Ovis aries: one gene and its partners. Each later gene encodes a partner of the first gene's protein in a complex. Links are inferred from orthologs where the notes say so. Each region holds a gene or a part of one and is shown in the gene's direction. Other genes may lie near its edges.

Evidence for each region.
Region 2: SMARCA4 (region 1) and SMARCC1 share a complex: the UniProt entries of both Homo sapiens proteins name them as parts of the BAF complex. The link is inferred for Ovis aries from reciprocal best matches to the Homo sapiens genes SMARCA4 and SMARCC1.
Region 3: SMARCA4 (region 1) and PHF10 share a complex: the UniProt entries of both Homo sapiens proteins name them as parts of the neural progenitors-specific chromatin remodeling complex. The link is inferred for Ovis aries from reciprocal best matches to the Homo sapiens genes SMARCA4 and PHF10.
Region 4: SMARCA4 (region 1) and SMARCC2 share a complex: the UniProt entries of both Homo sapiens proteins name them as parts of the BAF complex. The link is inferred for Ovis aries from reciprocal best matches to the Homo sapiens genes SMARCA4 and SMARCC2.
Region 5: SMARCA4 (region 1) and RUVBL1 share a complex: the UniProt entries of both Homo sapiens proteins name them as parts of the BAF53 complex. The link is inferred for Ovis aries from reciprocal best matches to the Homo sapiens genes SMARCA4 and RUVBL1.
Region 6: SMARCA4 (region 1) and PBRM1 share a complex: the UniProt entries of both Homo sapiens proteins name them as parts of the SWI/SNF-B (PBAF) chromatin remodeling complex. The link is inferred for Ovis aries from reciprocal best matches to the Homo sapiens genes SMARCA4 and PBRM1.
Region 7: SMARCA4 (region 1) and SMARCD1 share a complex: the UniProt entries of both Homo sapiens proteins name them as parts of the BAF complex. The link is inferred for Ovis aries from reciprocal best matches to the Homo sapiens genes SMARCA4 and SMARCD1.

The regions. Positions count from the first base shown.
Region 1 is NC_056058.1:13,255,357-13,259,874, forward strand, and holds the start of SMARCA4 (transcription activator BRG1), read left to right. Parts: upstream 1-1,482; 5' UTR 1,483-1,771; exon of another isoform or gene 1,772-1,843; intron 1,844-1,913; exon of another isoform or gene 1,914-1,968; intron 1,969-4,518. UniProt on the Homo sapiens protein: ATPase involved in transcriptional activation and repression of select genes by chromatin remodeling (alteration of DNA-nucleosome topology).
Region 2 is NC_056072.1:52,090,090-52,094,043, forward strand, and holds part of SMARCC1 (SWI/SNF complex subunit SMARCC1), read left to right. Parts: intron 1-125; coding exon 126-302; intron 303-2,858; coding exon 2,859-2,956; 3' UTR 2,957-3,954. UniProt on the Homo sapiens protein: Involved in transcriptional activation and repression of select genes by chromatin remodeling (alteration of DNA-nucleosome topology).
Region 3 is NC_056061.1:91,165,658-91,168,963, reverse strand, and holds the end of PHF10 (PHD finger protein 10), read left to right. Parts: intron 1-692; coding exon 693-801; intron 802-1,050; coding exon 1,051-1,239; intron 1,240-1,531; exon of another isoform or gene 1,532-2,288; coding exon 2,289-2,374; coding exon of another isoform or gene 2,375-2,408; 3' UTR 2,409-2,476; downstream 2,477-3,306. UniProt on the Homo sapiens protein: Involved in transcription activity regulation by chromatin remodeling. Belongs to the neural progenitors-specific chromatin remodeling complex (npBAF complex) and is required for the proliferation of neural progenitors.
Region 4 is NC_056056.1:163,356,992-163,361,562, forward strand, and holds the start of SMARCC2 (SWI/SNF complex subunit SMARCC2), read left to right. Parts: upstream 1-1,514; 5' UTR 1,515-1,539; coding exon 1,540-1,650; intron 1,651-2,447; exon of another isoform or gene 2,448-2,745; intron 2,746-3,656; coding exon 3,657-3,776; intron 3,777-4,398; coding exon 4,399-4,484; intron 4,485-4,571. UniProt on the Homo sapiens protein: Involved in transcriptional activation and repression of select genes by chromatin remodeling (alteration of DNA-nucleosome topology).
Region 5 is NC_056072.1:59,415,493-59,419,446, forward strand, and holds part of RUVBL1 (ruvB-like 1), read left to right. Parts: intron 1-2,418; coding exon 2,419-2,521; intron 2,522-3,954. UniProt on the Homo sapiens protein: Possesses single-stranded DNA-stimulated ATPase and ATP-dependent DNA helicase (3' to 5') activity; hexamerization is thought to be critical for ATP hydrolysis and adjacent subunits in the ring-like structure contribute to the ATPase activity.
Region 6 is NC_056072.1:48,264,080-48,268,564, forward strand, and holds the start of PBRM1 (protein polybromo-1), read left to right. Parts: upstream 1-1,350; 5' UTR 1,351-1,509; intron 1,510-4,485. Other genes in the region: GNL3 (guanine nucleotide-binding protein-like 3), read right to left, coding at 461-519, 1,138-1,150. UniProt on the Homo sapiens protein: Involved in transcriptional activation and repression of select genes by chromatin remodeling (alteration of DNA-nucleosome topology). Required for the stability of the SWI/SNF chromatin remodeling complex SWI/SNF-B (PBAF).
Region 7 is NC_056056.1:136,221,092-136,225,045, reverse strand, and holds part of SMARCD1 (SWI/SNF-related matrix-associated actin-dependent regulator of chromatin subfamily D member 1), read left to right. Parts: intron 1-300; coding exon 301-417; intron 418-1,938; coding exon 1,939-2,040; intron 2,041-2,334; coding exon 2,335-2,496; intron 2,497-2,575; coding exon 2,576-2,673; intron 2,674-3,954. UniProt on the Homo sapiens protein: Involved in transcriptional activation and repression of select genes by chromatin remodeling (alteration of DNA-nucleosome topology).

The DNA.
Region 1 (4,518 bases):
ATTGCTTGAATGAATGAGACAGGCCGAAGTCTAGACCTCACTTGCCCATTTCCTGTCCATTACCCAACGTCACAAGCTAAGTCACCGAGAGCTTCTCCATGGCCTGTTTTCATGGATGCCTCATAACCAACCCTGTGGAGATGAGTGGTGTCACTGTTTTCACTTTACAGGTGAAGAAACAGAAGTGTAAACTTCTGTAAACTTGCCTGGCATCCCCCAGGTACTAAGGAGAGTCAGGTTTTCAACGCAGGTCTTTTTGGCTTCAGGCCAAGATATTAGCTGCTGCTTTATGCTCTAAGGGCCTCACCTTGGGCTTGGAAAGGCCCAAAGTGCTGGTGATACACACTCCATAGAAGCTAATATATTTTCAATTAAAAAAGAATATTTTTAAGGTGTCTAGTGTGTTGCAGAGGGTGGCCCCACACTAGATATTGGGTATTCTTCACTAGGGACTAAAATTGACAACACTGCGCCACTTAAATTGAGGTTAGGGAGACAGATACTAAAGGGGTTACCCAAGAAATGTGAAAGAAAAGGAGGTGGTGATCAAAGAGGGGGCAAGGCCAGGGGAGGTGATGAGTCAGCTGAGACCTGAAAAATGAGGGGGAAGGCCTGAGAGAAGCAGGGGTAGGGAGTCACAGGCTCCAGGACTTGGCCCTGGGAACCGTTTGTCCAGTTGTGGGGCTAGAAACAACGAATACAGACTCAAGAGATACTCTCAAAATTTAAGAGATGAAGCCTCCTAGTCTCTGGGCCTTCACACTTGGAACAAAGCTCTCTCTCTCTCACTGCTTTTATGTCTTGACTCAAATGTCTTCGCAGAGAGGCTTTCCCTAGCTGCCCCATTTAAAACTTCCCCGACCCTTCACGTGTCCATTTCAACACAGTGTATTTTACTTAAGTTTTCTTGCCTCGCGCCTGCCTCTCCCACTAAACCATGAGCGCCACAGAGGCTGAGATTTCTCTTCGGTACTACAGTACCTCAGTGTGGGGCAGGTCAATAGATTATCTGCTAAACTAATAGCCCTAGGTAAGTTGTGCGGAAAAGATAGCCACGGTCTTTGCGTAACAGGCTTTGCCGAACGGGCACCGCCATCATCCGAACATCGACCTGCACTTGGCCCAGGGGCCGGCTCTGCTCATCCCCGGCCCCAGCCTGTCCGCCTCCTGCCTTCATGCACGACCTTGGAAGCCTCACTTCTGAGTCTCAGGGGCCCTCGGCCACGCTTTCCCCGCAGACCTCTCCACCACCCACCCCATCCCCCAACCTCCCGCTGCCACCTCCACCTCCACCACCGCCGCAGTGCCGCCTGCTCTGCGCATGCTCGGCGGCTTTGAGACGCGCGGCGTGCGGGAACGGAGACCACCGCGCGCAGGCGCATGACCGTCCCACACAGAGTCGGGAGGCGCGTCGGGCGCTCTAGCTCTCTCTGGCCCCACCCACCTCTCCCAGACAACCCCGGCGAGACGCGCACGCGCCCTAGGAGCGGAAGGGCGGGCGGGCACGCGCACGAGGACGGGCCAGCAGCGGAAGCGAGTGGGAGTTCGTGGTGGGGGGAGGGGAGGTGGCGAGTGCGCGCGCAGCGGGGGCGCGGGCAGCGTGGGGGGGCGGCTGAGGCAGGCGGGCGCGCGCGCGAGGCTTACCCTCGCTCGGCGGCTGCGGCGGCTGCTTCTTTGTTTCGTGAGGAGAAGCGAGAAGCCCATTCTGCCCCCGGCCCCGCGTGGAGGGGCGGGGGCGGCGCCGGGAAGGCGACGGCGCCGGCGACTCCCGGTAAGGAACGTGGGTCGCGGGGGGAGCGCGGCGCGGGGCTTGGGAGGACGGTTTGAATGGAGCCGGGGCGCCGAGGGGGGAGGGGGCCGCCGGCGCCCGGAGCCGGGCCGGGGTACGGCGGCGCCCGAGGGTCAAGAAGCCTGACCGGCACCGCGCGCGCGGGGAAGGCCACAGGCAGCGAGGCCTCGGCGACTACAGTATCCGCGGGACGGCGGGGTGGGGGCCAGGGCCGCGTGGAGGCCGCGCGCCCCCCGCGCGCGCTCTCGCCGGGGTCGCTGGACAAAGCGCGTTGCCCCGTCGGCGGTCCAGGGGCCCACATCCCGGTGTCCGCCGGGGCTGCAACAATAGCCAGACGTCCGGGCTTTTCTGGTTACGTTCTAACGGGTCCGACTCGAATGTTGCCTTTTGGCGAGCCTGCAGTCGGAGCTCAGTAGGAAAAACCCCAGGTGTGTCCAGCGTCGCCCGGACACGAACATTAGCAGCCCCCCTGGGTTAGCCGACCTGAATGGTTATTTTTTTAAAAGTCACGTCGTTTTAGATTTTCAAGGAAAGGTAAATAACTCTGCTAACCCCTTGCAAGTAGTGACTTGAGAACGTTTGCCCTGAAGCCGGGGGTCGGCAGCAGTGGGGAAGGACGGAGAGAACTGTTTGCCGTTAAAAGCATTGTTTTAGTTTTGCGTCCTTACCCCTTTCTGCCAATCGATTTTCCAGATTAAGGTTTTTATTTAAAACGCGAATCTTTCAGGAGAAGGTATTTTGTGAAGGTCTTGAAGACACTAGTCTTGATATTTTCCCCCCCTAGTGAATCATTGGGGAAAGTAGGGAATAAGCAGTGAGAGCCACTTCCTAAGAATTTGAAACAAGTTTTCACTTTTAAATGACAGGCCTGATTCAAGTTTGACTCCTGGCTGTTGCTGGTCACTTCGCTGTGTGACAGGAGGCAAATAGCTTAATCTTTTGGAACTTCTCAGTGTCCTCATATGTGAAATGAGAATAATGGCACAGATGGAGCCGGTGAAAGCCTGTAAAATGGTTCCTGTCAAGAGGGAAGCACTATCGTTGTTGTTCAGTCCAGTCTCTTCCATTCTTGTTCAACACATACTTGTTGAGCCCCAGCTGGGTGTTTGGTAGTTGGAGGTTGGGTGCCCAGAGCAGCCTGTTCAGTCTTGTAGGGGAACAGGTGGTAAGTGTGGGAACAACTAGAGGCCTGTCATGTGTGAGGAGCACAGCAGATTGGTGCCAGTGGTGGGAACCAGAGATCAGGTAGCTGCATGGAAGAGGGGGCTTTTACTCAGGGTTAGGGAGGACCCCCAGGTTGTGTTGGACCACTTGGGACCAGTCATTGCTCCCCTCTGCTGCTTTTGCACATGGTCATCTTGATCCTTTCTTGTGTTAGGAGTTACTCCTGTTTGTAATTACACATCTCTTCTCCAAGGGCCATCAGAGCTGTCTGTGTAATCTCTTTTAGTGTACCCTGGCCCAGTGTGTAGTAGGCCCTTAGGGAACATTTGTGGATGAAGGAGGAGGGTACTCTTGAGGATTGAGTAGCCCTGTGTGTGAAGTGCTTGGCCCAGGACTTGAGGGCGAGTTGCAGACAATAAATATTAGTTGCTGGCGCTGTGTTTTGCTTTCTTTTTTAATTTTTTTCTAAAGCTTTCCAGGCCATTTTCCCCAAACCTCATTCCCTCAACAGTAAGGGTGTGGGGTAGTAGTTAATAGGAGGTGGTGTTATGGAGTGCTAGTTCTGGAATTAGACCTCCTGGATTCACAGTCAGCTCTAAATTCTAGTTTGACCTCAAGCAGGACACTTACCAGTAGGTCCCCCAACTTGAGAAACAGATAAGACAGTGGTGCCAGCTCAAAGAATTGTTGTGAGGGTTGGAAAGATAGTATGGGAAGTGGTTTAACACTCTCTAGAGTCTGGCATGTAATGAGCTCTCAATTTTTCGGAGGTGGTTTTGTTCATACGTATGTATTTGTAAATTAACTGTTCAGAAAACTGAAAACATGAGTCATTCTGTATCCCAGAAACCCCAGGTTTGATGTGCTGGTTATATACATTTTCCTAATTTTCTTTAAACTCAATACATATACGATTATGAAAATAATAAGTGTTCCTCCTCATGCCACTTGAAATCATTTGTGCCCAACCCTTCAGGGGGCTTCCCAGGTGGCGCAGTGGTAAAGAATCCCCCTGCCAATGCAAGAGACCTAGGAGACATGGATTCGGGACCTGGAGGAGGGCTTGGCAGCCCACTCCAGTGTTCTTGCTTGGAGAATCCCATTGACAGAGGAGCCTGGTGGGCTATAGTCCATGGGGTCACAGAGTCGGACGTGATTGAGCGCACACGCCAGCCCTTCAGGAGATGTTGATTTTGCAGGTGTTTTTTGGGGGGGTGTTCATCGTGGGGTGACCTCATCATAGCTTTGGTGCAGGGCAGTGCAGTGGTTCCAGACTTCCTGTCAGTGAAAAGCACTCCAACATAAACACGTATTTATTTTTTTAAAACACATAATTTATTTATACACCTTTGCCTCTCTTGTGGGTCCTCAAAACATTGGGAGGTAACCGTAGACCAGCTCTCCGTCCCCACTGTTTATCTGATGTGGGAGAGTGGGAGGGACTCTGTGTATTGGGTGAATATCCCTTGAGAACGTTCTGCCAGTGAAGAAACTGAGGTCCAGGCATATTTCACCAGGGCCTCTGGGGTTGAACATCCAAGTCTGACTCCTGGGTTGGCCAGTTT
Region 2 (3,954 bases), on another chromosome or scaffold:
CAGATTATTGTTCTGTCGATCTTTCAATCCTTTTGGAGGTTAGATGTCTATCTGTATTTAGCACTCTCGGGCAGTGAGTTGATTCCTGTCTTCCTTACCTTAGTACTCTGACTCTCCCTCCACAGGTCAGATACCAGGCCCAGGTTCCATGATGCCTGGGCAGCCCATGCCAGGCCGCATGATGCCCACCGTTGCAGCCAGCATCCACCCCCCTGGGAGTGGCCCCACCCCTCCTGGTATGCCTCCAATCCCAGGAAACATCTTAGGACCCCGGGTACCCCTCACGGCACCTAACGGCATGTGTAAGTACCCAGGTGGGGGGAGGCACTACCCTCGGGACTTTTGGGGAGAGCTGTACACAAGGGAGGCAAGCACCGTTTGTTCCCTCTGGGGTGTGACAGATCCCTGGACAGGATGGCCTGTGAGGGGCGCTTCTGAAACCTGGGCTTTGGTCATTGCGCTTCAGCATCCCTGGTGGACAGGTACCCAGGTGGTGAGCACAGAGTGCTCCCAGTTAGTCAGGAGCCTTCCATAGCCTTCGTGGATGCATTCGTGACACCAAGGGCTCTGGCAAGGCCAAGGGCACACCTCACCCATGCCTGTTTGAGGCTATCTAATTTGAATCTGAGTCGATACACAGAACTACTGGTAGTTATTTTCTGTACAGGAGCCTTTTATGGATTCAGGATTTAAAAGAGGTAAGTGTAAAGAAAAGAATAGAGTCTGGTTTAGGGCAAGAATAATAATAAGTTTTTGTCCAATATATTGGTAGTGGCTGCTTAGACTTAGAAAAGAGTATTCAGGGCTGTGTTGAGAAGGAGTTTGAAGTCTTAGCGGGCTCCATCGAGCGGGCACATATGCTGATGAACAGTGTCTGTGGCAGTGTGCAAAACCAGCTCGGTTTTGCCATGGAACCCTTGTTCTGCTCCAACCCTGGCCTCCAAAGGGGTGCATCAGAGCCTGGCCTGCCCTCTTACCCTGTGGACCATGGTAATGATTCCAAAATGCAGCTGACAGTGGCCATGTACCCCGCCACATCTGTGATCCCAGGTCCTTTTAGAGGAGGACCTGGGTTCTCATGAGGTGGAGTCAGCCCCTGTTTGTTTATAGTAATACAGCTTATAATAAAATGATAATGTATTTATAATACAAAAACATAAAGTAATAATAATGAATTTATAATACAATACAGAGAGCTAGGATGCAGAGGTATTCCTGGCCTCCAGGAGCTTTAGTTGGGAAAATAAAACATGAACAAATGGATAGTAGTGTAGGATTTACCGTAAGTTACACAAGGCTATTGAGTGGCTTGAGCTCACTATAGTTCTCTGGGAGACTTCCTAGGGCCAGGAGACAAGTGCCATCAACACAGGTGCATCTCCTTTCTCATTGGACTCCTAGGAACAAGGACAGATTTAGGTGCACAGAAGAAAGACAGCACTTGAGCCAGGTCAGTACAGGATCATTGTTGAGAAACGAGGGACTTCCTTGGTGGTCCAGTGGCTAATACTGCGCTCCCAGTGCACGGGGCCCGGGTTTGATCCCTGGTCAGGGAACTAGATCCCACATGCTGCAACTAATGATCCTGCATGCAACTAATGCATGATCCTGCAGCTAATGATCCGGTACAACCAAATAAATAAAAAAAACTTTTTTTTTTAAGCGATCTTTGTTGTTACATCAAGGATCAGAGATCATAGTCTAGTGCGTACCTCTTTTCCTAGCCTTGCTGCCCCACAGGCAGTGTAAAAATGTGCTGGCTGACTGGGAGGGTTGACCACGCTGCCATCCCCGTTGCAAACATAATATCATTGGTCTTTACCACTGTCCTGTCCTGCTGATAACACCTGATTTGTATACATGATTCCATCCTGAAGGGCCCTCAGTGCAGTACCTTGAGGGTGTGGAATGTTTGGGGTGCTCCCCATCACTTCCTGCCCCAGATGAATTTCAGGGATCCTGAGCTGCTGATTTGGCTTCAGGGCATTGGGCAGGCCTCATCAGGCAAGTCACTTCCCTCTTCAGGCCTTACTTTGCTCCCCTGAAAGGTGACACTAGGGAGTAAATCGGTGGGCTTCAAAACGCTTTGAAGAGCCTTAGCAATTGGGTGGACACCTCCTGAGGGGAAGGTTGGATGAATTAGCTGGTAAGCAAGGAGGTGCTTTAATTGTTTAATTCGTTTTCATCCCTGGCAAAATCTTGAAGTTTTTAAAACCCTGGATTGAAGTATCTCTATGGTTGCTTTGTACACTAAAGCAGTCAAAGTAGAAATAGGAAAGAGCTCCTTTCCTAATTGTTCCCTTCAGGACCTGACCTAGTTTTGGCCAAAAATTTAAAGACTACAGTTCAGGAGTTGCGGGGCCTCTCCAGGCTATCCAGCTTGTTGGCCGCTGCCTCAAGTCAATCTCTGTGACCCTGGTGGAGACAGTTCATAAAAGCCAGCAGTTTCTGATAGGCAGTTTCGTCCCCAGCTAGGCTAGGCACTCTGAGAGAACGCAAAGAAGACACAGAACTTGTCCAGGAAGGAGCTTATCATTTAACTGAAGAGAGAGAATTAGCAGTGAGAACCATTAAGATAATGATAAAATCAAAATATAATTAAGTTCTGCAAAGGTCTGGAGGGATTGAGAGTGGGGCGGACTCAGACACCTCCGCACCCCCGAGCCGCGTGGGTCAGGGGAGCCACACAGGTGGTGACGTGGAGGTTCAGGTGGACCGCCCCATGTAGCCCTCAGCAGCAGCCGTGCCTCACAGGCCATAAAGAAACTTCCTTTATAAGTCCTGTTTCTCTGCATGGGCTCTTGCCCAGGCCCCTTGTGTTTCCGGCAATGACAAGTTCCTTTTGGATGTGTTTGCAGATCCCCCTCCGCCGCAGCAGCAGCCACCACCTCCAGCACCTGCGGACGGAGGCCCTCCACCTCCCGCTCCTGGCCCACCAGCCTCAGCTGCACCGTAGCCCGAAAGACACAGGGGACGTCCGCGCCCAGTGCCCCCAGCTGGAGTGGGGATGACAAGACTTGTGTTCCTCCGCTTCCTTGGGTTTCTTTCAGGAGTTTTCTTCTCACAGCCCCAAGCACGCACCCTGACTTTTCCCCATTCCTCTTGCCACCCCTCTCCGTGCTCTGACACCTGCTGTGTTAGTCCTCCTCCAGCACTCAAGGGGAAGCCACTGCTGCCAGTGTGCCCTGGTCGCCCTGAAATACCTGGCGTCTCCCTGACCCGCTGTGGGGTATGCTGACAGTGTGTCTGCAGGTCCTGTCAACGTTAGTGGTCTATGTCTGTATCATTTTTTGCTCTCCTGCAGTTTTGTTCTGTTTTTGCTTTGTCTTATGCTTATATGGATAATGCTTTATAATCATTATCACTTTTCTTTTTTTTTCCTTTTGGTCATTATTGCTTTAAAGGAGAGCATCCTAAGTTAATAGGAACCAAAAAATATTGATGGGCAGAGGGGATAGCCAGAGGGGACAAACCTTAAGGCATTGTAAGTGACCTTATTTCTGCTTATCTGAGCTAAGAATGGTGCTGATGGTGAAGTTTCATGAGACTTTTGCCACACATGGACGCACCAAAATTTAAAGAGATGGGGAAAAGTGACCCCCCCCAATGTTATCCTTAGTGAGGACCATGAGAGCCTCCAGCCTGCCTGGCAGAACACCCCCTTTCATCCCTGGTAGGGGAGAGCACAAGCTTTAGAAGAGATCCACTCCTTGCCCTGGCCCACTGGTTCTGGTTTTCTATGCAGACGGTTTGTTTGATTGCTAGGGGAGGGGGTGGGCATTTTGTTTTTGTCAAAAGTGTAAGCAGTGTAAGCTTTGAGGGCTGCGATTTGGGAGGCATTCCTGAGTTCCCTGAGTCTAGGGAACTTTCCCACCAGGAACGTTCTGAGGGTCTTGGGCAATGGTCATCCAGTGAATCTAGCCCACTGTTCACTGCTTTGTGTGCATTCTTTTT
Region 3 (3,306 bases), on another chromosome or scaffold:
GGGGTGTCTGCATAGTTTTTAAGTGATCATTTTATATTTTGCACATCTGAGAACTGCTTCATGTTTTACTAGTCACAGCTCCTCTGTTAATGTATGAGATATTCAGAGGGAACAAGTCACACAGCTCGGCTTCCCACAAGCCTTTCTGCACACAGCAGCGTATGCCTGAAGCCTCTTTCGGTTCACAGTGCTAAAAACTGATTTTGTAACTTAGATTTTATAGATGTAGTCTCACAGCTTTGGAGCACATCAGCTTTTAAACAAAATCGGCATGTAAGCTGCCTACAGTGGAGTCATCTGTTTGGGAATAAGCCTAAGTCCCCTGCAGTAGTCTCTTGGCAGCTGCGTTTTTCTTTCGGTTAACAGTGCAGGTTGACAGTGTATTAGTCTTCCCTCCAGGTCATTGTACAGATCTTACTGGTATGTAGGGAGTGTGGAATGATATATCTAATCCTAACATGAGATCATGCCTTTGACAAAATTTAAATCTGAAGCCCAAGGCTTTCGCTGGTAGGCTGTCGTATGTTGAAGGCAGAGTGGTGTCAGGCTATGTCTTTCAAGGTCCTTGCTAGCAAGTTAGGTCCTCATTAACAAGTTACTGGAAGTAAAATAAGGCGATACAGTAATAATTCCTTTTGAACCCATAGTAGGTTCTTCTGGCATGAATTTATAGCCCTCTTCTACCCTTCCAGCCAAAGGTCATTCCAAATGCTCTGTGTGGGATTTGTCTGAAGGGTAAGGAGTCCAGCAAGAGAGGGAAGGCTGAGCCACTTGTACACTGCTCCCAGTGTGGCAACAGCGGTAAGTACTGACACGGCTTCACGCTTTAAGCTCTGGTCGCTGCTTCGCGCTAGGGCTCAGTTGTCAGCTAGGCTTGACCCAGTCGTCAGAGACGTCAAGCCTGTCTTGTCTTCTGCCTTGTGTTCCCATTTCTCTTTGGCAGTTAAACCGATGTAGCCATTCCCGAGAAGTTCAAGCAAACTAGCATTTTACTGTGCCATGTAAGTTAGAATCTCGTGTGGAATGCAACTAATCCTGGTTTTGGTTTAGGCCACCCTTCTTGCCTGGACATGCCCGCGGAGCTTGTTTCCATGATTAAGACCTACCCATGGCAGTGTATGGAGTGTAAGGCTTGCATTGTATGTGGACAGCCCCACCACGAAGAAGAAATGATGTTCTGTGACGTGTGTGACAGAGGTTATCATACTTTCTGTGTGGGCCTTGGTGCTATCCCATCAGGTAAAGATTGAGAAGGAGGAACGTTATCTCTGAGTGAAGGGGCTCTTCCAGCACTTCCTTTCTTTGGAGGCTGCATAAATACCATGATGACACGGAGGGCCTGGAGAGACGTGCCCTCTCCACTCACGAGAAGTGGCCAAAGCTGTGGTCGCGGGCACCTGTTTCTCATCGCTAGAGCAGCTGATTAAGGACAAGTGAGACAGCAGATGGCCTGTAAGTTCTGGAAGTAGAGCTCAGTGTGTGCAGACGAGCTCGTGTTGTTCTACTGAAATAGCTAAGGCAGTAGCAGCGATTTGTTTCAAAGCCTTGATTTTATTTTTATACGTCATTTAGAAATTTAACAAAATGACTTATATGCCTTTATACATATTAAACCAGATTTATGTAAATTGAGGCAACATAACAATTCCAGATAACTTCAGAATGAACACAGAATCAAAGAATAAGTCACAGTAATTGGACTAAAACTTTATACACATAATTGCGTAATTTTAGAACTGATTTGCATAGTTAACACTGTCTGATATTTTATAAAAGATATGCCTAGGTTTCCTGGGAGTCATTGAGATGTAAGCAACTTAAATAATTATTTAGAGTTTTATAGTAATTCAGGTCAAGTATGTCGTATAGTCTATCATAATGCTATCAAATATTTGATACATTTTAAAGTGCTATGTGAGCATTGTAGACCAGGACTTGAGGGGATGCTGAGATGCATAGAAATAAGCCACAGTCAGTTAATAGGTTTTACATAATGACTTGTGCGATTGAATGTTTAAAGTATGGTAGTGTCTGAATTTCAGAAAAGATTGTACCTTTTTCAAGGGGCCTGTCATTATTTAGCTCCTCCAGGACCCCTTCCCTCCCCGTGTGCATTTCACAGGGCGGTTATGACACTGACGACCTTAAGGGAAGTTAGTGCCAGCGCCACCAGAAACCCAGTGAGGAGTATCAGTAGCCTTAGCTAAGGGAGGAGAGCTAAATGGTTTTAAAACTCAGTCCTAAAAAGTTAAGTCTCATCCTGTATTAACTAACAATTTTTCTCCTAGGTCGCTGGATTTGTGACTGTTGTCAGCGAGCACCCCCAACACCCAGGAAAGTGGGCAGAAGGGGGAAAAACAGCAAAGAGGGATAGTTTTCTTGACCCCAATACTGTAATATGCATTTAAATGATGTATTTGGTGCCAATTTATTTACAATGTTCTCATTTTTATGCCAATAAAAGATTTTGAAACTACATGCTTAAAATCTGCAATATTTACTCATAAGCCGCTCTCACCCTGGAAACCAAGCAGAAAAATAGTCCCATCCTGCAAAAAGCCTTGATTTCTCAGTACTTTGGTTCTCTCTGACTTCCCTGGTGGCTCAGATGGCAAAGCGTCTGCCTGCAATGTGGGAGACCCGGTTTCAATCCCTGGGTCTGGAAGATCTCCTGGAGAAGGAAATGGCAACCCACTCCAGTATTCTTGCCTGGAGAATTCCATGGACAGAGGAGCCTGATAGGCTACAGTCCGTGGGGGTCGCAGAGTCGGACATGACTGAGTGACTTCACTCTTTTTGGCTCTCTCCAGAAATTCAGTGGTAACATTATGCAGCTTAATTAGAAATACTTAACTATTATTCCATTAATCTAAAAGTTACTATTATTTTCATGAAATTTTCCTAATCTGTATCCTTTCTGGTGTACCATGGGTAGCAGGGCAGTTATTTAATAACGAAAGAATTTCCATAGGGGCCCAAGACGATAAAATTACAACCTGAGGAGATAAGGCGCAGCTGAGTTGAGAACCATCATTAACCGGTATCGGGACACCACCCGCCTTCCAGGAAATCCTGTTGGCCAGCAGGCGCCGTCTCTACTTCCGGTGTAGACAGGGGGCTTTAGTTCTCGGTCAGGCAAGTGTGGAGAAATGACTACATTTAGACTTGCTTTTAGCAACTCTCTAAAGCCAACACACTAATTCATTTGAGTCTCTCGAGTAAAACCTAAACCACTGCAACCATCTAGTCACCTGACTAATCGAAGTGGGGCTGAAGCGTCTTATTGAGCATATCCCTTTCACAGGA
Region 4 (4,571 bases), on another chromosome or scaffold:
GTTATCTTCGCACACTCTGGCTCCAGCCAGATTGGCAGTGTTGATGTTTCAATAGATCATTCCCCACAAGCTCTGTGATCCCTGAGACGTAGCACCTGAGGGAAATCCCAGTGAGAGAACGCCTTGTTTCTAGGATCTTCACGGTACAGAGACCTACAAGATGTGACGTCTGGTCATTAAATTCAGAGGTGCCCTCTTTATCTGGAAACTCCAGTTTTTACTATTAAAAGCACAACTAGCATTCACATTCCTGAACAACACTTAACCGTTCTTGAACCAAATCTTTGGCTACACCCTCCCGAAAGAATGAAACAAGGTACGTCGAAACTCTGCTTGCAAACCTGAAGTTACAGAATTCTCTAAGTGCTTTGTTATCCTAGCAGACAATACAGTTGTACATCATTAAACGCTTCTTGTCACCCTCAGCCCCCTTCTTCCCCCAGATCCAGGGGTGAGACCTTTTGGCTTCTGTTTCCGATACAGAAAGGGAAAGGCACGAAACACACGTGGAAGTCAAGAAGTTTCCTTCACACACACCCTGAAAAAAAGCGGCCGTCACGAACAGGATTCGAACCTGTGCGGGGAAACCCCATTGGATTTCGAGTCCAACGCCTTAACCACTCGGCCACCGTGACTTCCAAGACCGCCTGTCACCGAGCACTTACAGAAAGGGTCTGTACAACGACCCGGAGCGAGTGGTGGCAACGGGAAGCTGGGCCAAGCCCAAACACACAGCCTGTGACCTCCTCACATTCCGCTCCTTACCTCTGCCTTCACGCCGCTCAAAGGAAGAGAGTCGGGTGGATCGGGTGACCCAAAGAGGAAGGGTCTCCCGCCCTACGAAGATGAGGGTCTCAAGGAGCGCAAAGCTGTTTAGGAGGCATTGGCGAGGCCTGCAGAGGAAAGCAGTTGGAGAGGAGGGGCTGGGTCCCCGGGGTGGCGGCTAGGGGACTCCTCGGGTTGCGGAGTGAGACCTGGGACAAGGCGTTAGGGGCGAGGGAGGCTCAGGAGTTTAAACGGGGCACTCCTGGGGATGGATGACAGGAAGAAACTTCTTGCGGAAACGGGTCCAGGGCTCCTCGGGATTAGGGGCTTTGTGGGGTTAAGAAATGTGCAAGGTGAGGACCACTGAGGTCTGGGCTGGGGGCTCCTCAGGCGACCGGCATCCCCCTGGGGTAGGATAGAGAGGTACCCCACTCCACCGGCTGAGAGGCAAGAAAAGACTTCAGGTCAGCAAATGGCGATCTCTGGGGAGTGTGCGCCCCCTCCAGGAAGCAGCTTCCTCCCCAGAGCTCCGGCCGCGGCCGCCGCCGCCGCCAGGGAGGCCGCCAGGGTCCGCCCCGCGCCAGGCGCTCCGCCGCCACCGCGTCCGGCCGACCGGCAGGGGGCGCTGCGCGGGCCGGGGCCGGCCTAGGCGGCGGGAGGCGGCGGCCGCGGCGGCGGGAGGCGGCGGGAGGCGGGCGGAGGAGGAGGCGGAGGAGGCGGGAGCTGAGCTGAGCGGGGCGGGCGGCGGCGGGGCCCGAGCCCGAGCCCGAGAAGATGGCGGTGCGGAAGAAGGACGGCGGCCCCAACGTGAAGTACTACGAGGCCGCGGACACCGTGACCCAGTTCGACAACGTGCGGCTGTGGCTCGGCAAGAACTACAAGAAGGTACGCGGGCAGGGCCGCGCGGGGGCCGGGGGCGGGACAAAGGGACCGAGGCCCCGCGGCTCCCCCCACCCCCAGCTCCTGCCCACCCTCCCGCGGCCCGCGGCCCCTCCCCCGCGGCGCCCGGAGCGGCCCCAGCGCGCCCTCCGCCGCCCCGCGCCCCTCCCCCAGCCTCTTTTAACAACCCCCCCCACCCCCGCCTCTGGTTCCAGCCCCCGCCCCCACTGCTGCGCCCTCTGCCCCTTGTTTTTCTCCACTCGTCCGGCGGGTCCCGGTGCCAGCTGCCCACCCTCCGTAAGCCATCGCCTTCCGGGCTTTTCCGGGAGGGACGGTCGGGGGTGGATGGGTGCCGAATGCCCACCCCCCCCGACCCGAGCGTGCCCGCCACGGTGCCCGCCAGAGCTCCCCACGGAGCCAGGTACCAGCAGGGCTGAGGCCTCGCCGGTGCTTTGTGTATGTTCAGAGAAAGATGATGAAAGCCAGAGGATAAACAGCCCCAGAGCAGGCCCTCGACTGCTCACCAGCCTGAAAAAGGCCCCCACCCCGGGATCACCTGTCTACCGCCCGCCCCCATCTCCGTACAAGGGGTAACAGAACCTCTTTGGGAGTCAGGGTATAGGAGTTCCTGGGCAGCTACCCCTTTTAAAACCATTGCTCAACTTCACAATGAAATCACCCCACCACCTGGCCTTGCATTGCCTTGGGTTTGGGGTTCAGAGACTAGGATGCAGTTTGTGTCTGGAGTCCCCCATCCCGTAACAGGAGATAATAAGGTAATGAACAAAGGGTTCAAGCCTTACCTGTCGTTTATACCAGACCTCTTCCTGGTGATGTCTTTGTCTTTAGGCCTGGTTGAAAGGAACATCTCTGCATAGGGCTTTTCTCTGGAGAGGGTCTGGGTCTCTTCCTTCTCACTGCCCCCAATAAGAGGTTCTCAGACTTTCCTTCAGCTCCCCAGTTCTTCCTGCTCAGCTCTGCAACCTGTCAGAAGTGTGATGGGCTGGTGGAGAACGCCCCTCTGATCCTGGTTATGAGTCTGGCTCTGTTCTCAGAGGTCTGTCTGGGTGTCAGAGCTTGACCAACAGCTGCTGGGTCTGTGGCTCCTCTCTACACCAGCCTGAGGCTCTGGCTCCCAGGCTTCTACCTTTGACCTTTTGGACAGGAGATCAGTCTAGGGGCTTAGTGTCTGGCCCTGGGGGAATTGACAGCCTGTGACCTAGTTCAGCTGTCAAGCTCTTAGCTCTGTCATTTACCTTTTCTTTCAAGGATCTCTTTACACCTCCCACCAAAAGGTGCGCTTTTTTCTATGGTCGGGGTTGAGGAAAAGGGGATCAAAAGATAAAGTTAGCTTCTTTGCACAGTTTTACACGAGAACTGAAGGCTAGGGTGCTAGGTCGCATAATATGGAAATATTTAAGAAGCCCCAGGCTTGCCTGTGTCCAGTACAGTCTCCTCAAGAAGGGTAGATACTGGCTTGCTATTTCCACCTGGCTGGGCAGTAGCTGTCTTTTTTCCCTTCTAGGAGGGCATGTGAAGACATGTGCCCTATATTGCTTCTTTGCACCTTTCTTATCAGGCTATATTATAGGGGGAATCTTGACCTTCCACACCATTACTCAAAGAAGTAGACTGCTGTCTCCCTTAGAGCATTCCAGATGTTGCTTCTGTGGCCTGATCCCTATGAATCTTCATAATTTTACAACTCTAGGTGCCATTGGCTAAAGATCTGGATCCTGCAGCTCCATTTTTAGGGTGTAGTTGAGGGAGAGTAGGAAGCTGCCTATATTGCCAGCACCCAAGACTGGCAGTAGGAAGCTGAATGTCATCTTCTTGGTGAGGGGCACCTCAGGCCTTCCTTCTGCCGTTTTCTTTCTAAGAGATTAGGCATGTGGGGGAAGAAGACACTATTTGTATTCCAGATGCTTCCAGAGCTTCTGGGAAAGAAAGAAGGGAGATGGTGGAAAATTGATTTGGGGTCTGTTTTTCTCTCCTTTTCCCTATTTCCCCAGTATATACAAGCCGAACCACCCACCAACAAGTCCCTGTCTAGCCTGGTTGTACAGTTGCTACAATTTCAGGAAGAAGTTTTTGGCAAACATGTCAGCAATGCACCGCTCACTAAACTGCCGGTAAGTGCAAAAAGCAAGGGGGCAAATCCAAGAAGGAGTTGTCTCTTGTGTTTTTGTAAATCTTCTAGTTTTTGAGGTTTGGGTGACTTCCTACCATCCCTTTCCCTGGTTGGGGTGTTACTGGCTTGGCAGAGCCCCCAGTTTACCATCCCCTTTGTCCTAGTAATAGTTCATGCAACAGGTTATCTCGAGTATTGAAACTCAGTCATGAAACTCATGGCATGGTGAGAACGTGAGATTTGGATTTGCACACTCTTGTGTTCAAATCCTTGCTCTACCACTTGGTGTCTCTGTCATCTTGGACAAGTCATTTATGCCTTTTGAGTCTTGGTTCCTTTATCTCTCGATGGGATTAATATACCTATGTTGTAGGTATTACCTGTAATGATTAACGAGGAAACCCAGTAAAGGGAATCCAGCAAGGGACATGGTGGGGCTTTGTAGATATTGGTTTCTTTCTCTCCCCTCTTCTAGGCTACAAGATAGAATGGCACAGGGGTTAAAGAATTCCAGCTTTGAGAGGGAGATCAGTTCAGCATAAGATTTTGTGAAAGGATTGTTAAATCATAAGAGAATTTAGGATGTAATTCTCATATACTTCTTCCCTGTCTCAATTTTGTAGATCAAATGTTTCCTAGATTTCAAAGCAGGAGGCTCCCTGTGCCACATACTTGCAGCTGCCTACAAATTCAAGAGTGACCAGGGATGGTGAGATGCCTTCTCTTCTCTTTGTACTTCTTAACATTTAGTTTAAAGGGAATCCCCCTTTATGAGGGTCTTTGTGGGGTGGGAGAG
Region 5 (3,954 bases), on another chromosome or scaffold:
GCCTCCGCAAGCCTGCTGTACAGTGGCGAGGGTGGCAGGGCCCGGAGACTGCACGCTCCTGGCCCAGGGGGAGCGGGAATCTGAAGAGAGACCCCAAGACCATGACTGTCTCAGCTCAGAGCTGCAGCCAGAGAGTGAGGAGCCTAGACCAGCCCGAACCCTAGACCTGCCTCTGTAGAGGTGCTCTGTCTCTGCTGAGCTTGTACGGCAGCCGTGCTGTTGGCTCTGGGGCAGGCCCCGCTCAGGTGGCCATTCTCGCCCAGAGTGAGGGTCTGTGTGCGCGCGGCACGTGCAGGCGGCAGCTTCGTGCAGCCCCTCTTTGAATCCCTGTAATGCTGTCTTGTCAAGAACACCGCTCGTCACCGTCACCGCTGTCTTCTGGTCTTGAAGGGACGGCAGCTTGGACCAGGTCCAGGCCAGCCAGGGCCTGGCTCCCCGGGCAGCATCTGGAAACGGCACCTGGCCTGGAGAGCCCGGTGTCCGGCCACACAGGCGCCGCGTATGTTTTCTGGGCTCGCTTTGGTGGGGCCTGGCTTCAGGGTGACAGTGGGCAGAGGGGCCCAGCCTGGACAGCTGGCGCCCCCTGCTGAGGGAGCCCCGCGGCCAGAGCCCACCCCGGCCGAGAGCTCTCAGGGTCAGAGTCCTCTTCGCCTCCTGCCGTCTAGGGAAAAAAGAGGCACGGGAGGGTGGCCGTGACCTCAGAACCCACCCAGTGGGGCCTGGGGAACTTGGCCCCAGCCCCATCCAGAAGGATGTGTGTTCCAGAAACCATTTTCTCTAATACGTTGTCTGAAAGAAATTTTGTGCCTCAGAGTCCGAGCTTGAACACATTTCCACAGTCTTTGGTCTTTAATTCCTGAGAAGTGCTTAGTATTTCTTAAGCAGAGTTTTTGTTTTTGTTTTCTGTTAAAATTTTTAGTTTTATGGACTTAAAACCAAAAGAAGATTTTAACACATGTTGACAAATTCTGTTCCTTCGTGTTTTTTTCCCATTTTTTTTTCTTTAGACTTTTATATTCACTGTCTCTGAAATGAAGATAATTTATCATGAGTGTTATAGAAGTGGGGATGTTTCAAGATGGCGGATTGAGATCGTTTAAACTTTCCCAGGAGAATATCTAAGTAGAAAGAGAAAAATACAGCCTACACAGAATCAAATAACTGAAGATTAAATGAGGTTTTAGAGGTTATTTTGTTTAATATGACGATTACAGGTATACCAAATACTGAGTTTAATCATGACAGAATTTTTTCCTTACAATTCTTTATTTTTTTTAGAAATATTTGTTGGTGAAAAAGATTCATTTTTTTCTAGTGGCTTCTTAACATTTTGCATTTGCTACTAGTCTGTTTCCTTTTTTGTTTGAAAAGGTCTTAATTATTTTTAAGTATTAGATTTAGCAATGATTAATGTAGCATTTTATTATTTTATTTTTTCATTGTGGTAAAATGCATAGAACATAGTTTGCCGCTTTAGTTACTTTTAAGTGTTGGGGAGGCCAGAACTGGGGGCCTGCTGCTGTGGCCTGCTCAAGTGGAGGCAGGAGCCCCCGGCTCAGCTCGCTGGGCTTCCAGACGCGGCTGAAGCCTAACACGTGCCGCAGGGTCTGCCTGGGACACAGCCCGCTGGGAGCTGGTGCTGTTCAACCCGGTGGGGTGGCCAGTCACTGGTTTGGCTAAGGATTCGAGAGAGAGACAGGCAAAAGTTATGATGGGACAGTTCCCCAAAAGAAATAAATAACTGATGGACACGAGGGAAGGCCTTCAGACGATTCATGAATAATCAAGGACGCGCAGAGTCAGATGCGGTGCTAGGCCTTCCTTTTCCTAGAACTTTAGGCAGCAAACTGTGAGGCTGCTCAGCGCTGGCCACAGTGTCGGGGGGCCAGATCGCTCGCGCGGCTGCAGACGTGAGCACATTCCTTGGTTCAGCCGTCCATGTGTTTAGGGAGATGTTCAGGGTTGTGTCCGGCTCTGTGAGAGATGCTGAGGAAGTGTTCATGGCAGTTATGCCTAAGACACCGTTAGTTATAACAGTAACACTAGGGACCACTACGTGAATGCCCTGTAGTTTGGGTCCAGTGAGACTCGTCATGGGCTGTTTATACTGAAACAACAGGGACAGGAGCGGCCCAAACGGATCTGCACACTTAGGGTGGCGCGCGGGGGTGGCAGATGCCGCTGTGAACAGCCTCGCCGCGGCTGCAGTTGGCCTTCTCCTCCTCCCCCGACTCCCCGTGGTGGTGATACTCGCAGAAACAATGGCGTGGTTTCTGATGCCACCCGAGTGAGTCTGTCCTCGCGGTCCTGCTTCTGACTCTCAGGACGAGAACTAGCTGCTTTGTTATCACCGGGGCCTCGGCCATGGTTCCACTGTCCAGAGAGGCCCGAGTGACCTGGACCTTGTCGGCCTTGCAGGGGCACGGAGGACGTCACCTCTCCTCACGGCATCCCTCTCGACCTTCTGGACCGAGTGATGATCATCCGGACCATGCTGTACACCCCGCAGGAGATGAAGCAGGTGGGCCGCGCCGCCCCTCCTCCCCGCCCTCGCTCGCCCTCGGGCCCCTGACACCGGGCAGGACGGAGCCCGTGAGTGTCTCTGGCCCCCCACCGCCCCCCACGGCGCTGCCGGCCGAGGGCGTGTCTCCGTGCTCCCCAGCCTTGGCCCACCTGAGTGACGCGAGCCAGCAGGGCGTTGCCTCCCGTGTCCCAGCGGCTCAGCTGCCGGGAGTCCTGGCGGTCCTCTCTTCTACCCCATCCCGCCTGGTAACCTTAGGACGTGGGAAAACCAACTGGAGGACCACCAGTAAGCAGGCCCCAGCTCAGAGAGGCAGCAGAGCGCCCCTCAGTGATGGGCCCGCCCAGGCGCCAGCCCGCCGGAGCCTGCGGCAGCCTGGCTCCCGCGGGCAGAGCCCAGGCCCCAGCAGAGGCAGTGTGGGTGGCGGCCGTGGAGTGACGCTCGCAGGGAAGGTGTGCAGGGGCACGCCGAGCTCACGGCGGCTCCGCCTGTGCTGAATCAGGAGAGGTGACGGGCCGCGGGACTGGCCTCGTCCGCAGGGCGCAGCCCCAGCTCTCCTTGCAGAGTCGGAGCCGCAGCCACATGCCCGCAGCGCCCGCAGCCTTGGCAGCCCCGTCCCTTCTGGGCCTTCCGAGCCATCCTCTCCCCCGGTGCTGGCTGAGCCCTAAGTGGCGATTCCAGGACACAAAGCCGGCCGTGTGCTGCGGGGCCCAGCCATCTGCTCTGCCCACCCTGACCCCAGACAGTCTCGCTGGGGCATAGGTCTCACTGTGGGTCCCCGTACAGCCACAGCTGGGGACCTGGGGTGCCCAGGGCCGCACTGACATCCGGGGGACTCTGCCAGACCGTCTCCTCCAGAGCACTCTCGGATGGGGTACTGAGTCGTTTGATCCCGTCACTCAAGGTAGGGCAGACAGTTACTACTGATGTTCTTAAAGAGCGGGTGCTGAGATGTAGACTGGTTAGCTTGCCCGGGTTCACATGGCCCATCTGTGGCAGGACTGGGACTGGGACCCAGGCTGTCTCATCCTGAAGCCCCTTACCTGATGTCTCTGCCACCAGCCTCCTCCCTGTGAGAAATGTCCCGTCTGGGAGGCAGTCTCTGTGGCAATTGGCCAGCAGGCTGCTCCTTTCGGAGCTCAGAGGGCCTCTCCTGGACCCTCCGCAGCAGCACCCCGCCTGCCTGTGGCCTGTCTGGCCTGGCCTTGCGTGTCCTGTGGACCAGCGCCCAGGAGGCCCGTGACGTGTAGAGCCAGCGCTCTCCCTGCGTGACGGCATGGCTCAGACCCCAGGTGGTTGAGCACCGTGGCGGCAGCAGCTGGGTGGGAGGTGGGGTCCATGGCTGGAGGCCTTGGCGCCACGCAAGAGGCTCTCGCTCTTGGATGAATGCTGGGTTGAAGCCAGGCTCTCGCTGACTAGGAGCAGAAGCGAAA
Region 6 (4,485 bases), on another chromosome or scaffold:
AGAGCTTGCACCATATCGGACCTCCTGACCAGGTATATCTGACCTCTATTCTAGTTAAACCTCCACTAGTGAAATCATACTAATGTTAACCCACATCTCTGGGGCAGGAAATCAATTTAGCCTCTTCCAGGCTTCCCTGGTAACTCAGTTGGTAAAGAATCCACTTTCGATGCAGGAGACCCGGGTTTGATTCCTGGATTGGGAAGATCCGCTGGAGAAGGGCTAGGCTACCCACTCCAGCATTCTTGGGCTTCCCTTGTGGCTCAGCTGGTAAAGAATCCGCCTGTAATGTGGGAGACCTGGGTTTGATCCCTGGGTTGGGAAGATCACCTGGAGAAGGGAAAGGCTACCACTCCAGTATTCTGGCCTGGAGAATTCTACGGAGCATATAGTCCCTGACCTCATAAAGAGTCGGGCACGACTGAGCAACTTTAAGTTTCATAACTCTTCCAAGACTTACCTTTTTTTGGATTTTATACCGCTTGTGGCAGGTCATGCGTTTACTTGCTTTCTTTAATTCTACAAAGCAACAGATCACAAAAGGATTAATTTATTGTTTTTCAAAATCGATTTTATCCACAAATGATCAGCTAGTTTAGCTTTTGATGACCGCGCTTTAGGTCACATCCATTTTTGCATTAACTGGCTCTGAAACATAATTTAATAATATTGTGGGGCGCGTGGTAAAAATAATCACGGACCAGCCAAGTCCCAGAGTCTAACTTAACAGATTCGTTGTAGATCCAGCTTCCCTACTTCCACCTTTCTAAATTAGACTGGGATCGTACACAGGAGCATATAACCCCAGAACTGCCACTTCCTGTCAAACAGCACGAACCACAGAAGAAAATCTAACAGTGCGTGTTTTCAGACCTCACCAGAGCCAGACCGAACGAGGCCGCACAAGGGAAAACGCCAGGCCCGAAACCTGGCTCAGACACTGGGTCCTCATGACTCTCTGGCCTGATCTCCATCCTTGGGGCCCAGACTTTCTTTCCGCACACAAGACCGCGCTGCTCACGTGGGGCCTTCCAACCCTCGGTTCTAGGCGGGATCAGGGAGACGGAGCACCCTGGTGGGTTGGTCGACTATCAGACACAAACGCCCCCTCCACGCCCGCCCCCTGACCACACTCACTCGGCCGCTTCATAGTGGAAGCCGAAAGGCCTGCGCCCGAAGTTACACCAGCACTCCCAGGTACAACGTGCCCCTGCAGGCGCCACGTGCCAACTGAGGCCTCCGCCGAGCGTCACGCACTCACGCCGCTGCCGTAAAGCACGCCGCCACTAGCCCGTGTGCGCGCGCACGCAGTGTCGTGCGGAGCCGGGTTCGCTCGACGGCCGCGGAACTGGTTTTGCGGCGGTACCGGGAGGGGTGAGGGCGGTGAGGGCGGCGGGTGCTGGAGCGACGGCAGCGGCCGCGGCCGGAGGAGCAATAGCAGCAGCCGTGGCTTCCACGGGGCGGGGCGCGGCTGTCGGCGGCCGGGGCTGCAGGCGGCGGAGCGGCTGGGTAAGGCCGGGCCCGGGGCGGGCGGGGCCGCTTCCTCTCGGCCGACTGCCGGGCCTTTGTGTGGGCCCGGGCGGGCGGGAGCAGCGGCGGAGGCCCCGCCCCGATGGTGGGGACGCGCCGGTCGGGCCGGGAGCGCGGGGCGGGGCCCGGCGGCGGGGCTTCGGGACAGGCCCGGCAGCCTCGCCGCACCTGCCGCCAGGGACAAAGGCGCGCCGCGGCCCGAAAACTCCCCGCGCCCCGCTTTCCCGCCCCCCGCGGCTGGCCGAGCTCCCGTCGCGGGCAGCTTCAAAGCTGTCAACGTTTCCCTTAGTTCCCCGTGCCGGTGACAGGTTGGGAAAGTCTTACATTTCCTCAGCAGTTAAGGGCTTCTTTTTTTTGTTGTCGTTTCTTGACGGTTCAGACACAAACTCTCCTAGTAAAAAAAAATTTTTTTTAATACTTTCCGGATGACTGTTCGGACTGAGTGTTTTCTTAAATCAGTGGGAGTTGTATTTGTCATGGAGGGCAGATATAATTTTTTCCGTGCAACACCACAAAGAATCGAGGTTTTAAAATTGTGTACATTTTTGGCTTTTAATATTTTCCATCTCAACAAAATTTTTTTATTGAAAAAGAAGCATAGTTTCTTTGTTATAGGGTAGATGTTGATGACTTAAAGGTGAAGAAAGATAGGCAGAAATTAAGGAGGAATCCTGAAAAACAAATGACAAATACACGGTATATGGATATAGAAATTATTTCTACGATTATAGGAACATATGTTGGAGTATAAAGCATTACTATTAACTTGTTTTCCAGCAAATTATCCCTCCTCAGTGATTTCTAGGGGTTTTTTTTTCCATCTAGTAGTGAGCTCTTTTCCCAAGTACAATTCAGAAGCAAAGTAGATTCAATACAAAAGAGCAGTATAATTTCTGCTTTATCACTTGTTAACAGGTTTCCCATATTTTATGTCTAAAAATTGGAAGTTATTTTTTGAAAAAGTAAGTCAAATCAGTAACAGACATGTGTGGATAAATAGAAGGGTTTTGACCTCTTGGGCTTTGGGAGTGTCCGAAATACGTAAAGTATTAACGTTCTACCCAAACTCCTAAGATTAGTACGTTGCTGTATCTGTGTGATAGGCTAGTTTCAAGGCTTCCAACATCATGTGTGAGAATGTTGACTCAGGAATATTGTCGAAGGCAAACACAGGCTGCAACATAATACATATAGTTTGTTCACACTTCAGTTTTTTAAAAAAGCAGCCAGGCATAGAACAAATACTGAAAGCTGAGAATGCTGTCTGCCCACAGTACAGGAGACCCAGCCGGGCTGGATCCCTGGGTTGGGAAGATCTCCTGGAGAAGGGAATGGCAACCCCCTCCAGTAGTCTTGCCTGGAGAATTCCGTGCACAGAGGAGCCTGGCGGGCTACAGCCCATGGGCTCGCAAAGAGTCGAGCACGACTGAATGACTAACACACAGCGTTATAAGTGATTTTTTTCCCCCAAGATTATTGTGTTAAAGATAAATTACAGCACTAAGAATCACTGGAAATACAGGAGAATAGTACAAGTCTATAAACTGTCAGAATACACCATTTGGCTATACTGAGTAATTTTTTCCCAGTTGCACATTGTAAAGTTATTCTTTACTGTCCACTGTAATTTATCATTGATTGTTAGGTTTTGGACATGTGACTGTAATCAATGCCATTTAAAAAGTTGTACCTAAGCTTCAGAATCTATTCCTTTTCTCTTTATAGAAAAATAATTGCTGAATGGCTGCTCACAGGCCTTTTAAACTACACAAACTTTTTAATATTTTACTTAAGTGCACTTTTACTACATTTGTTAAATAGATTAGTTGATCACTGAAACTGTGCTATAAGTCAGGCGACAAAAATGGGTAAATTGCTTTTCTTGTGCACAAGGGAGAATGAAATCCTAGAGTTAAGTTTTAACTTAACGTTTTTATTGCACTTTGATATTTCAGGGGCTTCCCTTGTGACATTTCAAAGTGATTTCATGTACATTCATTGTCAAAACAGTCCAAGGGAGATATGTACACTTTGCATGTGTGCTCACTCAGTCGTGTCTGACTCTTCGACCCCATGAACTGTAGCCTGCGAGGTTCTCCTGTCCATGGGATTATCCTGGCAAGAATACTGGAGTGGGTTGCCATTTCCTTCTGTAGGGGATTCTGACCCGGGAATCGAACCTGCAGCTCCTGCATCAGCAGGTGAATTCTTTACCACTGAGCCCTGATATATACACTACTGTTTTCATTTTAGAAATGAAGAAACAGATCTGAGAGGTTGTGACCCAACATCAAACAGATCATTAAAGAAGGAAGGCCCGTGTCTCTTATTAGTCTTCACTTCTGAGCTCAGGTCTTGTTGCTCCTCCCACCCACCTAGCCACATTGCTTTTCTTGCCAGACTTTCAAAGTACATGTTAAAATGTGTTCTTTGAATGAAAAAATATTTGAAAATTATACTTAAGTTGAATCTTTTGTTGTTATCAAAGTAAATTAATGATTGGAGTAATTTTGGACAATATATGATCTAGACTATAATCAGTGCTGAATATTCATTGGAAGAACTGAGGCTGAAACTGAAACTCCAATACTTTGGCCACCTAATGCGAAGAACTGTGTCACTAGAAAAGACTCTTAGGCTGGGAAAGATTGACGGTGGGAGGAGAAGGGGACGACAGAGGATGAGATGGTTGGATGGCATCACCGATTCGATGGACATGAGTCTGAATGATCTCTGGGAGTTGGTGATGGACACGGAAGCCTGGGGTGCTGCAGTCCATGGGGCAGCAAAGAGTTGAACATGACTGAGCGACTAAACTGAACTGATACACACACAGAAAAGGAAATGGCAGCCCACTCCAGTGTTCTTGCCTGATAAATCCCATGGACAGAGGAGCCTGGCGGGCTGTGGTCCATGGGGTCCCAGAGAGTTGGACACGACTGAGTGACTAACAGA
Region 7 (3,954 bases), on another chromosome or scaffold:
ATTTTCTCTGTTCAGACTCGCTTTTTTCTGTGTAAAGGTTTGGCTTAACTTGCATCATTTCCCTTGGGAAAAAGAGGTGGGCAAGCCAATGACCCTATACACGTTATAGGCTGCTTCTTCGGGGTTCTGTTGCTACCGCAACTTGTTTAATAGACACCTACCTTGCCATTTCCTAAGATACACTCAGAAGACATTTTTGTTTTTTTCCCATTGCTTTTGTGGGTTCCTTGTTTATGGGACTTTGTTTTGGGGAATTTCTTCTGGTTTTTTCTAACATGACGTCTCATCTCTCTTTTCCAGTCAGCCTTGTCCAAATATGATGCCACCAAACAAAAGAGGAAGTTTTCTTCTTTTTTTAAATCCTTGGTGATCGAACTGGACAAAGACCTGTATGGACCAGACAACCATCTGGTGGAAGTGAGTAGTTCTGTCCTCTAGACTTTGGCTTTATCAGTAGTGGATGATGGCCTTGGGAGCTAAACTTCAATGTCTAGGGAGAGGGGCGTGGGTACCTCCAATGCAGTTTGCACATTGGCCTCCAGGTGGCACTAGATGTTTGGTTTTGGTACTGTTTGGACCCAAGAGTTCTTATAGTCTGACTTGTCCCACCTTTTAAATTTAATTATCTTGATTGCTGCCCCCACTCTCAAGAGAAAGTCTAATGGAGGCTTTTTATACATGCCAGGAATGGTGAGATGTAGCTCTCCACATGCCATTCATCTTTTTTCCTGGTAACAAGTGCTGTGTTTAAGGGGTTCATTAATAGGATTTAGTCCTTACCAAGGCTACTTCTTCTCTTTTTGGAGAAGGCAATGGCACCCCACTCCAGTACTCTTGCCTGGAAAATCCCATAGACGGAGGAGCCTGGTGGGCTGCAGTCCGTGGGGTTGCTAAGAGTCAGACACAACTGAGTGGCTTCACTTTCACTTTTCACTTTCATGCATTGGAGAAGGAAATGGCAACCCACTCCAGTGTTCTTGCCTGGAGAATCCCAGGGACGGGGGAGCCTGGTGGGCTGCCATCTACGGGGTCGCACAGAGTCGGACACAACTGAAGCGACTTAGCAGCAGCAGCAGCGAGGCTACTTTTACAGATCTGCTGCTTGCTTTTGGTTCTTGCTTTGTTTAGATTCACATTCCAAATCATCAAAAATTCTTTATTATAATGCCTGATTACATAGTGTTCTAAAGACCTTGTTAGCAGCAGTGTTCTTTGTGATACAGTCAAAACAAGAATGAGATAGTCGAGCACTCCAAGTGAACTTAACCTGCTCCTTTCTTTGCCAGTGTAGCCGCAGCCCCTTAACCTCAACCACTAAGAAACATGGGAAGGTCTTTACCATCTAATAAGGGAAGTAAGTCATAGAATCAATAGAAATTTGTAAATATATTTAACTTTATAGCAGTAGAGCATAGTGCCTGAGAATGTGGACTGTGGACTCCAACACACCAGAGCTCAGATAACAGCTCCACCACTTATTGGCTGTTGACCTTGGGCAGCTTGCTTCATTCTTGTAAGCATTAGTTTTCTCATCTGTAAAATAGGTTTAATCATGCCTTTCTCATATGGATGTTGTGGGGATTCAATATGATAATCCAAGTACATGTCCTAGAATACTTTGGCACATAGTAAGTACTCAGTAGATGATAGCTATGTTATTTTACTGTACAAGTGTATATTATCCATTTTATGGATAAAATTATCACTGAAAATACAGGCTAATTTAAATGTGACCCTGAGCAGTCAGAATTAAAATGTCTGTCTCCTTATAGACAGGAATCCCAAAGTCATATGCGGTTTTTTAAAATGTCTCATGGTGTTGCTCTTCTCCAGTAGCCTCATTAATCAAAGTTGAAAATTCAGTCATTACAGAAGCTCTTCCCTCCCACCCCAGCTCTTCCTCTGGGAGAGCACCCCCTGACATCTTCCTCTCTGTAGTGGCACAGGACCGCCACTACCCAGGAGACGGACGGCTTCCAGGTGAAGCGGCCAGGAGACGTGAATGTGCGGTGCACTGTCCTGCTGATGCTGGACTACCAGGTATCTGCTGCCCTGAGGAGGCCCAGCTTTCAGCCCCATCCCATCAGCAGTCTGACATTTAAAGGCAGTTTAAGTCCAGTTCAGGGAATTTGCCATCAGACCGTTAGCTCCCTGGATATCTTTAAGGGATAGGGTCTTAGTCATTTCTGAGTTCCTCTTCGTGTTTTTCTGCTCCAGAGAAAGCACAACATGCATGCCTGTTGAATGGCATGAATGTGTGGCCACACCAAGTGCCCCATAATAGCACATAGACTCAGCTCACTAGCTTCACCTCTGCACCCTCGTTCTCTCCAGCCTCCTCAGTTTAAATTAGACCCTCGTCTGGCTCGGCTCCTGGGCATCCACACCCAGACCCGTCCGGTGATCATTCAAGCACTGTGGCAGTATATTAAGACACACAAGCTCCAGGACCCACATGAGCGGGAGTTTGTCATTTGTGACAAGTACCTCCAGCAGGTGAGAAAAGTTTCCACTCTTTTCTCAAGTCCACTGCAGCACCAGTTGTACTCTTAGCTGCTTCTCCTCTTTCCCACAGATCTTTGAGTCTCAACGTATGAAGTTTTCAGAGATTCCCCAACGGCTCCATGCCTTGCTTATGCCACCTGAGCCCATCATCATTAATCATGTCATCAGGTAAGCATGTGTACGCAAGGCAGTGTGTGCTGGAGCTGGCTTGTACCACCTGCGCAAGTCAGTTCTCAGAATTTTTAGGAAATTTATAAGCAGGTTGTTAAACACAGTCATTATTTAGGATTATATAAACTTGCGATTAAATACATTATATAAAAAATAAGTGTAAATGTACTCAGAAGGTCATCATATCTGAGTTGTTATATTGGTTTACCGGTGTTTGGGCTTCCCTGGTGGCTCAGATGGTAAAGAATCTGCCTGCAATGCAGGAGACCCAGGTTCAATCCCTGAGTCAGGAAAATACCTGGAGAAGAGAATGGCAACCCACTCCAGTATTCTTGCCTGGAGAATTCCATGGACAGAGGAGCCGGGCTGGTTACAGTCCGTGGAGTCTCAAAGAGTCAGACACGACTGAGCAACTGACATACACATACTGGTGTGTGTTTTTGAAGTTACTTCTGTCTCTTGTGTCTGTGTGGTGGAAATACTGTCTAATGATGTGTTACTGCACATCCCTTCCCAATTCCTCGATGAGTGATATAATGTCAGCATCTTGAAATCAACCGTGTGGAGAATATTTAAAACACAGAAATTAGCAAATGCTCCAAGTCAGGGTTTTTTCTTACCGTTCTTTTTCTCTTTTGGAGAATCAGTTATTAGAATTTATCAGCTCATCACTGATGAACTCCTGTCTTTTCTCTGGGTGGTAGGACATTCCAGTCTGAGACTCCAACTCCCATTACCTCTGTCTGCTTTTCTGTTCAGAAGATGGATGAACAAGGCATGTTTAGGCAGATAGTGAAAGAAGGCACTTTCTCCTCAGAGCACCATGCCTTCTGGCTCTACATAGTCTTTGCCTTCTTTCCCTTACTCCATATTAACTCCAGTAAAGCTGTCCTTTCGCTAGACCCTGAACCATCATCACTCAGCTGATAGTAATTCCTACAACCCATACGCTGGGTCAGTAGAAGCTAGTTTGTCCTATATTCATGTGGTTAAATTTAGGCCACGTTTTATTTTGTGTGGTGTGTGTTTACTTGAATGTATTTTCAGAGTCAGTTTAAGTTTAATAAGTAAAGATACTGTAGCAGTGGTCTCTTTGTGGGGAAGGAGAAACTTACTTTTCATTGGCTATCTTTTGTACCATTTGACTTTTTACCATTACTACTGAGGCTTATATGCAGTATATTGCACCCAGTTAAAATCTGATGATTTTTGGCTGATGTGCACATCCTATAGCTACCACCGCAGGGAGAGTACAGAGCATTTCTGTCACACCAGCAA